Linked DNA regions of Canis lupus familiaris. The main gene of each other region encodes a partner of the protein of the gene in region 2 in a complex. Links are inferred from orthologs where the notes say so. Each region holds a gene or a part of one and is shown on either strand. Other genes may lie near its edges. The genes, in order: CSF1 and CSF1R.

Region 1 (3,811 bases), on a different chromosome or scaffold from region 2:
CTCAGTAACTATCTGTTGAATGAATGAATAGTCCTCACGCTCTGGAATTCTATATAGTTGTGTCATTGTTTGTTTAATTGTTACCAGCCTCCCCTAACCCTAAGCTCCACGAGGGCGGGAACCATGTAGTTTTTGCTCACGAAGACATCGTCAAGGCCCAGTACTGTGTCTCCCGCATGGTATGTCTTTAGCAGAGGTGTGTAGGGTGAATAAATGAATGGGAGAGTGAGTGAACAATGACACGGGGTGAGAGGCAAGCAAACACACTCTGCGTGTATGGGCAGGGATGGTACCCCCAAAGCCACCCGAGGCTCTTAGAACTCAGTGCTCCCCAGGACACTCCTACCTTGTCCTGCTCTTCGTAGTCCTTCGTGAAGCAGCTCTTTAGCCTCAGAGAGAGTTCCTGGAGCTTAACGATGACATTGGCGTTGGGAGTATTGTCTTTGAAGCGCATGGTGTCCTCCATTATGTCTTGCATCAGGACAAACGCCTTCTTAAGGTAGCACACGGGATCTTTCTGGAAAACCAGAAACGGGAGTTGATGGTACGCCTGATGTGGTCTGAGAACCCAGGCTCTGTGACAGATGTCCCCAGTCCTGGCAGATGGAGGGCTGCAGCCTGCCTTACACCTGCCCCTGAGGTGAGGGCCAAGCCACTCTAGTATAAGAAGGGAGGTGCTGACCTTGGCTGCTCTTTCACTCTGTCTCTTTGGGATCTGGAATTGGGGTAGAGGGAAGGAAGTGGCGGCTCTGATTAGAGACCTCCTCAGATTTCTGGAAGATGCGGCTTTAATCAGAATGGGGGTGCATGGGTAGGGTGGGCTCTGGGGAACTGCTGTCTTTTTGCTTGCTCTCACAAAAGTCCTTCTAAACCTCCAGGCTGCAGGGGAACTAGAGGACACCAGAGGGGACAAAGAATAACCTCAGTGTTTTGTCTTCCCGAGGGATGGTGGTTGCCTCAACAGACAGCCTGCTTCAGCTCTCTATCCTAGTACCTGGCCCCATCATTTCTGCGTGAGTGATCGAGTGAAATACTGAGGTTAGTCTTTGGGCCGTGAGGTGGTCAGGGGGTCAGAAGCTCAGAGATGGGAGCCCCTTCTGGGTGCACCGCGGTGATTTTGTATATGGCACAAGGATGAGCCCATGTGCAGTAAGGGACAGGGTCCAGGCAGTTGGAAAGGCGTCACAGGCACGGGAGGAGCGTGTGCACAGGCTGGGAGGCAGGGAGGGGAAGGCAATGGCGGGGGCGGGCCAGGTGATGTGCCCCCAAAGCTGAAGCTGACCCAGCTGGGCTTTCTCCCCCAGCGAAGCTGAAGCTGACCCAGCTGGGCTTTCTCCCCCAGCAAGGGGGGCCAGAACAGGTTCAGGAGAGGAAGTGAAGGCAATAGGCTGGAGTTCCGAGAGCTCCCCCTACGGGCTAGATTATGGGTGCAACTGGAAGGGGAGAGGCCTCTTAGGAGGCGCTTGGCACTGTCCAGGCAACTGGTTGGGCAAGGCTGGGGCAGAACCCAGAGCTGCTGGGAGACAGAACAGCAGCTCACGGGGGCTGGCTGGGTGTGGGGTAGGAGGAGGAGGGAAAGGGCTGGACCGACTCCCTGGCTGCTGTGCTGTCTGTTGGATGGAAATGACATCCTTAAGCAAAGCATGTGACGCAGAAGGCCTATTGGTGTGCCTTAGGCCTTAGAGCCAGCCTGCCTGGGTTCAAATCAGGCCTCCACCACTTAGTAGCTGTGCTCCCTTACCCTCCCTGAGGACAATAACCAAGATTAGCAGATCACATAGTTGTACCGTCAGGATTAAATTAGAAAGTGCCTGGCACATAGTAAGAGCTTGATATGTGCCAGGGCAGGAGAAGGGAGCAGCAGGGGACTTGAGGCCTGGACCTTGCTCAGCCCCAGACCCTGGCATCCCAGGACTGAGAACCGGCAATCCTCCCACCCTCAAATCCTACCTGCCCAGGTAGAGGATTTCTACCCCCTCCGTGCTCCCACATATACCCACCTCGGAAAGCTGGCACCCGGGCCTTGTAAATAACCAGAACTCACCAATAGCTCCTGGTCTACAAACTCAAAGGCAATCTGGCACGACGTCTCCATCTGACTGTCAATCTGTAAGAGAGAGCAGGCCAGTGGTGGCAGGGTGTCTGTAGCTCCACTGGGCCCACCTAAGAATGAGGGCTAGAGTCCCTGGCTGGATCAGGCTTTGAGCCTCTTCTACCTTCCCACCAACCACACTGGGAAAGACAGAGCCAAGGGAAAGACTTGTGCCTCCCACATGCCCAGCGTGGACTGTAGAAGAAGTCTCTTCCTTCCACCTCCTACTCCATGAATCTGACAAAGACCAGTTAGTTATAAGGAAGAACTATCTCAGAGGATATTGGGCATAACCTTCCATGATAGGTAGTGAGCTCCCTGTCGTGGTGGGAATTCAAGCATAGACTAGACAAGATCTGGGGGTTCAGAATATATAGGGGCTGGGGCTAGATGTCCATCAAGCCCTCACTGGCCCCCCCAGAGCAGTGGTTCTGTGATTCTAAGGCTCAGAGAATGCTGTGGCTCTTGGTCTACCTGGGAGAGCTGTAGCAGCTGTGTGCAGGAGGAAAACCATAGCGGTAAGAGAGGCAGCAGGCCCAGCCTACAGGCCCCAAGGAGCTGGCCTTAGCCAGTGCTGCCCCACCCGGCCTGGCCGGCTAGAGGGACGGTAAATTCTCTTCTGAGCAGGACAGTGGCCATCATGGTAACCTGACTCTGCCTCCCTGAATCACATTTGGAATTGTTGACATCCCTGCCTGCCCAATTAGAACAAGGCACGGGCTCCTCCATGGCGGCCTGGGTGAGCAGTCCTTCCCAGCCCCGGGGCTCAGGCAAGAGCCAGGAAAGTGAGGGCGGAGGGCTGGGAGGTAGGCTGGAGCCTCCACTCCAGATCTGGCTGAGGCCCTGGTGCCAGGTTGGCGGCATATCTGGGAGTCCAGGAGTTAGAAGCAACATCTGGATGCAGCAGGCAGACACACTGGGCTGGCTCCCTAGAGGAAGCATCTCAGCGAGGGACTGCAGGCCTCACAAGCCTTTTCTAAGTCCATGGTTGACACCCTGGGCGATCATTAACCCAGGCCAGTGGCTGGAAGCCCACCCTGTCCATGGTCTGGACAGGCCCTGACCCCGAGAAGGTCACTGAGGAGAGAATCCGTGGGGCTAGGTGGGAGCCACAAACCACATCCTGCACAGCCATACCTCACTGCCTGCAACCCTTGCCTTTGACCCTGCTGCCTGGCTCCTGCCTCAGTTTCCCCAGTGAGGAGAAGGTAGACAGTCACGGCCCCACACTCACCAGCTGCTGGAGGAACTGCAGGTGCCCGTTCCCAATCATGTGGCTACAGTGCTCTGACACCTCCTCGGTAGTACTCCGGCTCGCCAGGAGAGAGACCAGCAGCAGCAGGGGCATCAGCCATGTCTATGATAGAGAGTGCGTCATTATTCCCAGCTCTCCGTCTCCCCAGGAACCCCCATGCCCTGAGGAGAGGGGAAAACCAAGGACCTCATACCTACAATGCTCCAGGTTCTGCCCTTTACCCCAGGATGCAGTGGTCCCTGAATCCAGCTTTCTCAAGATTTCCTCACTGGCATGCACTGTCTTGCTCTCCCTTGACAACCCACATGTCATCTTCTTCAAGAAGCCTTCCCTGATTAACCCAGGCCAAGCTTGATCCCACACTGAACTTCTCACGAGGATATGGAAGGTGTTCCTACCAGTCTAAATTTCAATTACACAGGACACTCCTCGAGCACAGGACTTGCATCTGCTCATTGTTGTGT
Region 2 (3,811 bases):
CCAGGGCTGCAGAAACCAGGGTTCAAGTTCTTGTGCTGTTGTTTCTTAGCTGTGTGATCTTAGACAAGGTACTCAACGTCTGATCCTTTGCTTCCCTTTCTGTGAGGGTTACACTGATGGTTATTAATTCACAGGCTTGGCCTGGGGACGAAAGGGGCATATATTCGGGGTACTTGACTCAGAGCCCAACTCAATGTAGATTGCGGTTATATACCAATTTAATGGTGCCTTTTGTTACAGAAAAGACCCAGAAGCAAATGCAAATAACAAGTTATCCTCAGCTGATTCCAGATAATTTTTCCTTTTTTTTTTCTTTTCTTAAGCTCTATTTTAGCATTTGTCCATTATGGACATGCACTGTTTAGGTAACAGATATGTTTTTTAAAAATAAACTACAGCATATCATTATAAATTACACTGGGCTAATACCCATGGTATTCAAAGGGCAATCTCATTCAGCTAGACCTTAGGCATACAGAACCCCTCTACACACCTGCCTCTTAAGCTGGAAGAATTTAACTTTTTTGTGTGACTCAAAGTCACCATCATGAATGAACACATCCATCACATGAGCTCAGTTTGGTGGCTGTTTGGTGACCAGGTTTTTCTGCCCTGTGCTGGATGACCCCACACTACCGTGTTTGGGGGATCTCCAGAGTTTCTTTTTTGCAATGTCCCTGTTGTCTATGGATCCCTGAAACCTGTCCATGGACCACCCCCTCCCAGGGGTCTATAGACTCTAGATTCAGAACTTCTGCTTTAGACAAGGAGAAGCTAGAAATCCTGACCAGAATAGATGAGAAAGGAACTGGGAGGAGAAAAATGAGGAGGACAAGGAAACATTTTTGTCCTGCTGAACATTTTGTTCTGTTTTGATTCTGAAATTTGGCAAGCTGGAAGCCAGGCATTCATGAAGTCTGGGCTTCAGAAGCTAGAAAAAGAACTCCGGAGAGTTCTGGAGTTAGAAGTTGGCTAAGGGAGTATCTAGCAAACATCTAGCAAATCCCTAAATAATGGCAAATATGTCTCCTCTCCTAAGTCAATTAATGATGAAAATACTGGCTGGAGATGGTGTCAAGGACTCCCAGGCTGCATGGGGACCCTGAGGGAAAGAGCTCGACAGTAGAATAGAGAAGTCTGTCAAGAGCGTGGGATAGGAATGGGTTGCATGCACAGCGCATGCTTGCTGTTCTTGAGTGCCGTACTCTTGTTCAGACACAAGTGGGTAAAGAAGCTATTGTTTTAACACCTGCTACTGGTGTTCCTCCTATAGACGAGACTCTTATGTAGTAGACAACCTGGTTACACCACTTTGGATGGGAAAGTGACACCCTGAGGTCGTAAGGAGACAGAAAATAGACTTCTAACATGTTGTGTTTGGGAGATAAGCCAGATTCTAGAAGTGGAAAGAAGGGGGAAAAGGAGTCAGATGACACTTTATGAGAAGCATTTTGAGCCTGTAGAGAAGAATGAGCCCTTTAAAGAACTTTTGATGTATATGTGATTGTGTGATGCTAGTTCTGTCTACCCCCTAAACCCATGTATGCGGTAGATTGCCTGTGTAGTCATTATTAGGAGGGTGTCTAGGAGTAGAAATCATGAAGCATGGGGCAGCCCGGGGGGCTCAGCAGTTTAGCGCTGCCTTCAACCCAGGGCGTGATCCTGGAGACCCGGGATCAAGTCCCACATCGTCGGGGTCCCTGCATGGAGCCTACTTCTCCCTCTGCCTGTGTCTCTGTGTCTCTCTCTGTGTCTCTCATGAATAAATAAATAAAATCTTAAAAAAAAAAAAAAAAGAAAAAGAAAAGAAATCATGAAGCACTGTCTTCTATATTTGGATTGGCCACAAAAGAAGAGAATTAATGGGATTAAGAATTATTCAGTGAAAAAAAAAAAAAAGAATCTTCAGTGAGCCTGAGAATACACACCCCAAGAAATAGTAGAACTCTTGAGGAGGGCATTGGATTTTCCAAGGATGTGGGACAGAGGGGCAAGCCAATTTTATCAAAGTCTCAAACACAGATGACTGATATTGAGGTTCTATAGTCAGGAAAAGTGAGACCCGGAAAAGGGAAGGGATTTATTTGATCCAGGTCACTAGCAAGGCTGAGATATGACCCAGTCAGTGTCCTGCTTCCTGGCTGAAGTGTTCCCCTTCTGGCTGTGGGGCCATCCAGATTTGAGCTGACAGGTGGTACCTGTATGTGTCCTTCGTGATGACAAACTTGAGTTTGGCCTGCTGGTCGGAGAAAGGTCCCAGATAGGTCCAGTTATAACCTTCCAGGCTTGGGTAGGCCTCCACCTTGACTTGGAGATCGACCTTCTCACCCACAGTCACTTCCTGGAGGAGGCTCTGCTCAGAGGTCAAGTTCAAGTAGGCACTCTCTGGAAAGCAGAACACGTAAAGATCTGGCATTGCTGGGAAGATGTCTCAGTTTATTTGCTCATTTGGTGATCCACCCATTGACTCAGCCATTTAGCTGGACCCTTCCTGTGTGCACCAGGTGTGCAGCCCCCACCCCTAACCAAGACTCATGCTCTGGCATCTCCCTTCCCACCACAGCCCCACAGAAACCCAAACACTTCGCTGAGCCCCTGGGAGAACTCGGACAAATTCTTATCCTCTTTGCTACCTCTGCCTCCTTATTTATATAACCAAGAGATTGAATATTTTGTGTTGGTATAACCTTTGAAAGTTTTTCAGTGGCAAAAAAATCAAAGTGGCAAAATGCAAAGACACCCTCACTCATTTCCCCTTCTTCTGGTTATAGTTCAGGCAGTGAAGCTTCCACATCTAGCTCTAAGGAGGGCATGTGACTTAGGCCAGCCAGTCAAAGTAGTGTGTCCCCTTTGGACCAGTGAGTGGTTTAGAGTAGGCACATGAGCCCTTGGGTCCTTTGACACTTACTTCCATGATTTTTGTTGGAGCTCTGGGAAAGGAGAAGCCCTAACTCCAGGGGGTTGTCAAGCCTGATACTTGAAGGAGTCCACAAGAAAAATGTTGAGCTGAGAGGCAAGAAGCAACAGGTTCTTGTCCATATCAACTGAACACCAAGATCCAGTTCACCTGAAGCTCAGATCCATGGGCTTTTTAGCTATAAGGCCAATAAAATCCTCTTGTGATCAGGCTAGCTCAAGTTGATTTCTGTTACCTATGCCTGAAAAAGTCCTGACTTGTTTCTTCTAATTAAATCTTGCATGAATTAAAATCAAGTTGCTTTGGTTGAATCTCAGGCAGAGGAGCTATGGCAAGAATCCCCACTTACCCTCTCCATGCCTCTCACGGAAGCTCCTGAAATACTTTTTCAAATCCCCCAAGACTTTACAAAAAGCCTGGAACTAGATGATCTCTAAAGGTTCTTCTCCTTACTCGTCTATGAAATCTAAAACTCACTCTTTTACCTGCCTGCTCCTAAGTCCCTTTGGCTCCCCTTGGAGCCATACAGATTGGCAGTCAAGGCTCTCCTCAATCAGGTCTCTCTTTATGCCCGTCTAGCTGTCGCCCCTCTTCCTACACACACACACACACACACACACACACACACACACACACATATTGCTCCACCCATCTGGGCGTTCTCATAGGCCCTGAATACACCACAGTCATTCCTACCGTGGAGGTTTCTATCAAGCCAGTTTCTCCACCAGGAGCCCCCTCCACTTCCTCTTTTCTATTTCAATCCTTCTCATCCTTCCAGGCTCATCCCTATCAGGGGGTCCCCATCCACCACTTCAGGCCACAGGGGGCTCTTCCTCCTCAGGACTCCTGCTGCCCTTCTAGACTACACATCCATTAGGCACCACATCTATT

What was found.
Region 1: the proteins of CSF1R (region 2) and CSF1 are in contact, whole or in part, in a crystal structure (PDB 3EJJ), measured with the Mus musculus proteins. The link is inferred for Canis lupus familiaris from reciprocal best matches to the Homo sapiens genes CSF1R and CSF1. Residues at the interface, in NP_001032948.2 of Mus musculus: Arg142, Arg146, Leu149, Arg150, Lys151, Lys168, Val169, Leu170, Ser172, Asn173, Val231, Gly232, Phe233, Leu248, Ser250, Asp251, Phe252, Asp254, Asn255, Tyr257, Lys259; in NP_001107002.1 of Mus musculus: His38, His41, Met42, Gly44, Asn45, Gly46, His47, Phe87, Gln90, Asp91, Asp94, Arg98, Asp101, Glu110, Arg111, Gln113, Glu114, Leu115, Asn117.

The regions. Positions count from the first base shown.
Region 1 is NC_049227.1:42,498,053-42,501,863, forward strand, and holds part of CSF1 (macrophage colony-stimulating factor 1), read right to left. Parts: exon of another isoform or gene 3,541-3,811; intron 3,450-3,540; coding exon 3,327-3,449; intron 2,108-3,326; coding exon 2,045-2,107; intron 518-2,044; coding exon 347-517; intron 1-346. UniProt on the Homo sapiens protein: Cytokine that plays an essential role in the regulation of survival, proliferation and differentiation of hematopoietic precursor cells, especially mononuclear phagocytes, such as macrophages and monocytes.
Region 2 is NC_049225.1:59,905,354-59,909,164, reverse strand, and holds part of CSF1R (macrophage colony-stimulating factor 1 receptor), read right to left. Parts: intron 2,386-3,811; coding exon 2,199-2,385; intron 1-2,198. UniProt on the Homo sapiens protein: Tyrosine-protein kinase that acts as a cell-surface receptor for CSF1 and IL34 and plays an essential role in the regulation of survival, proliferation and differentiation of hematopoietic precursor cells, especially mononuclear phagocytes, such as macrophages and monocytes.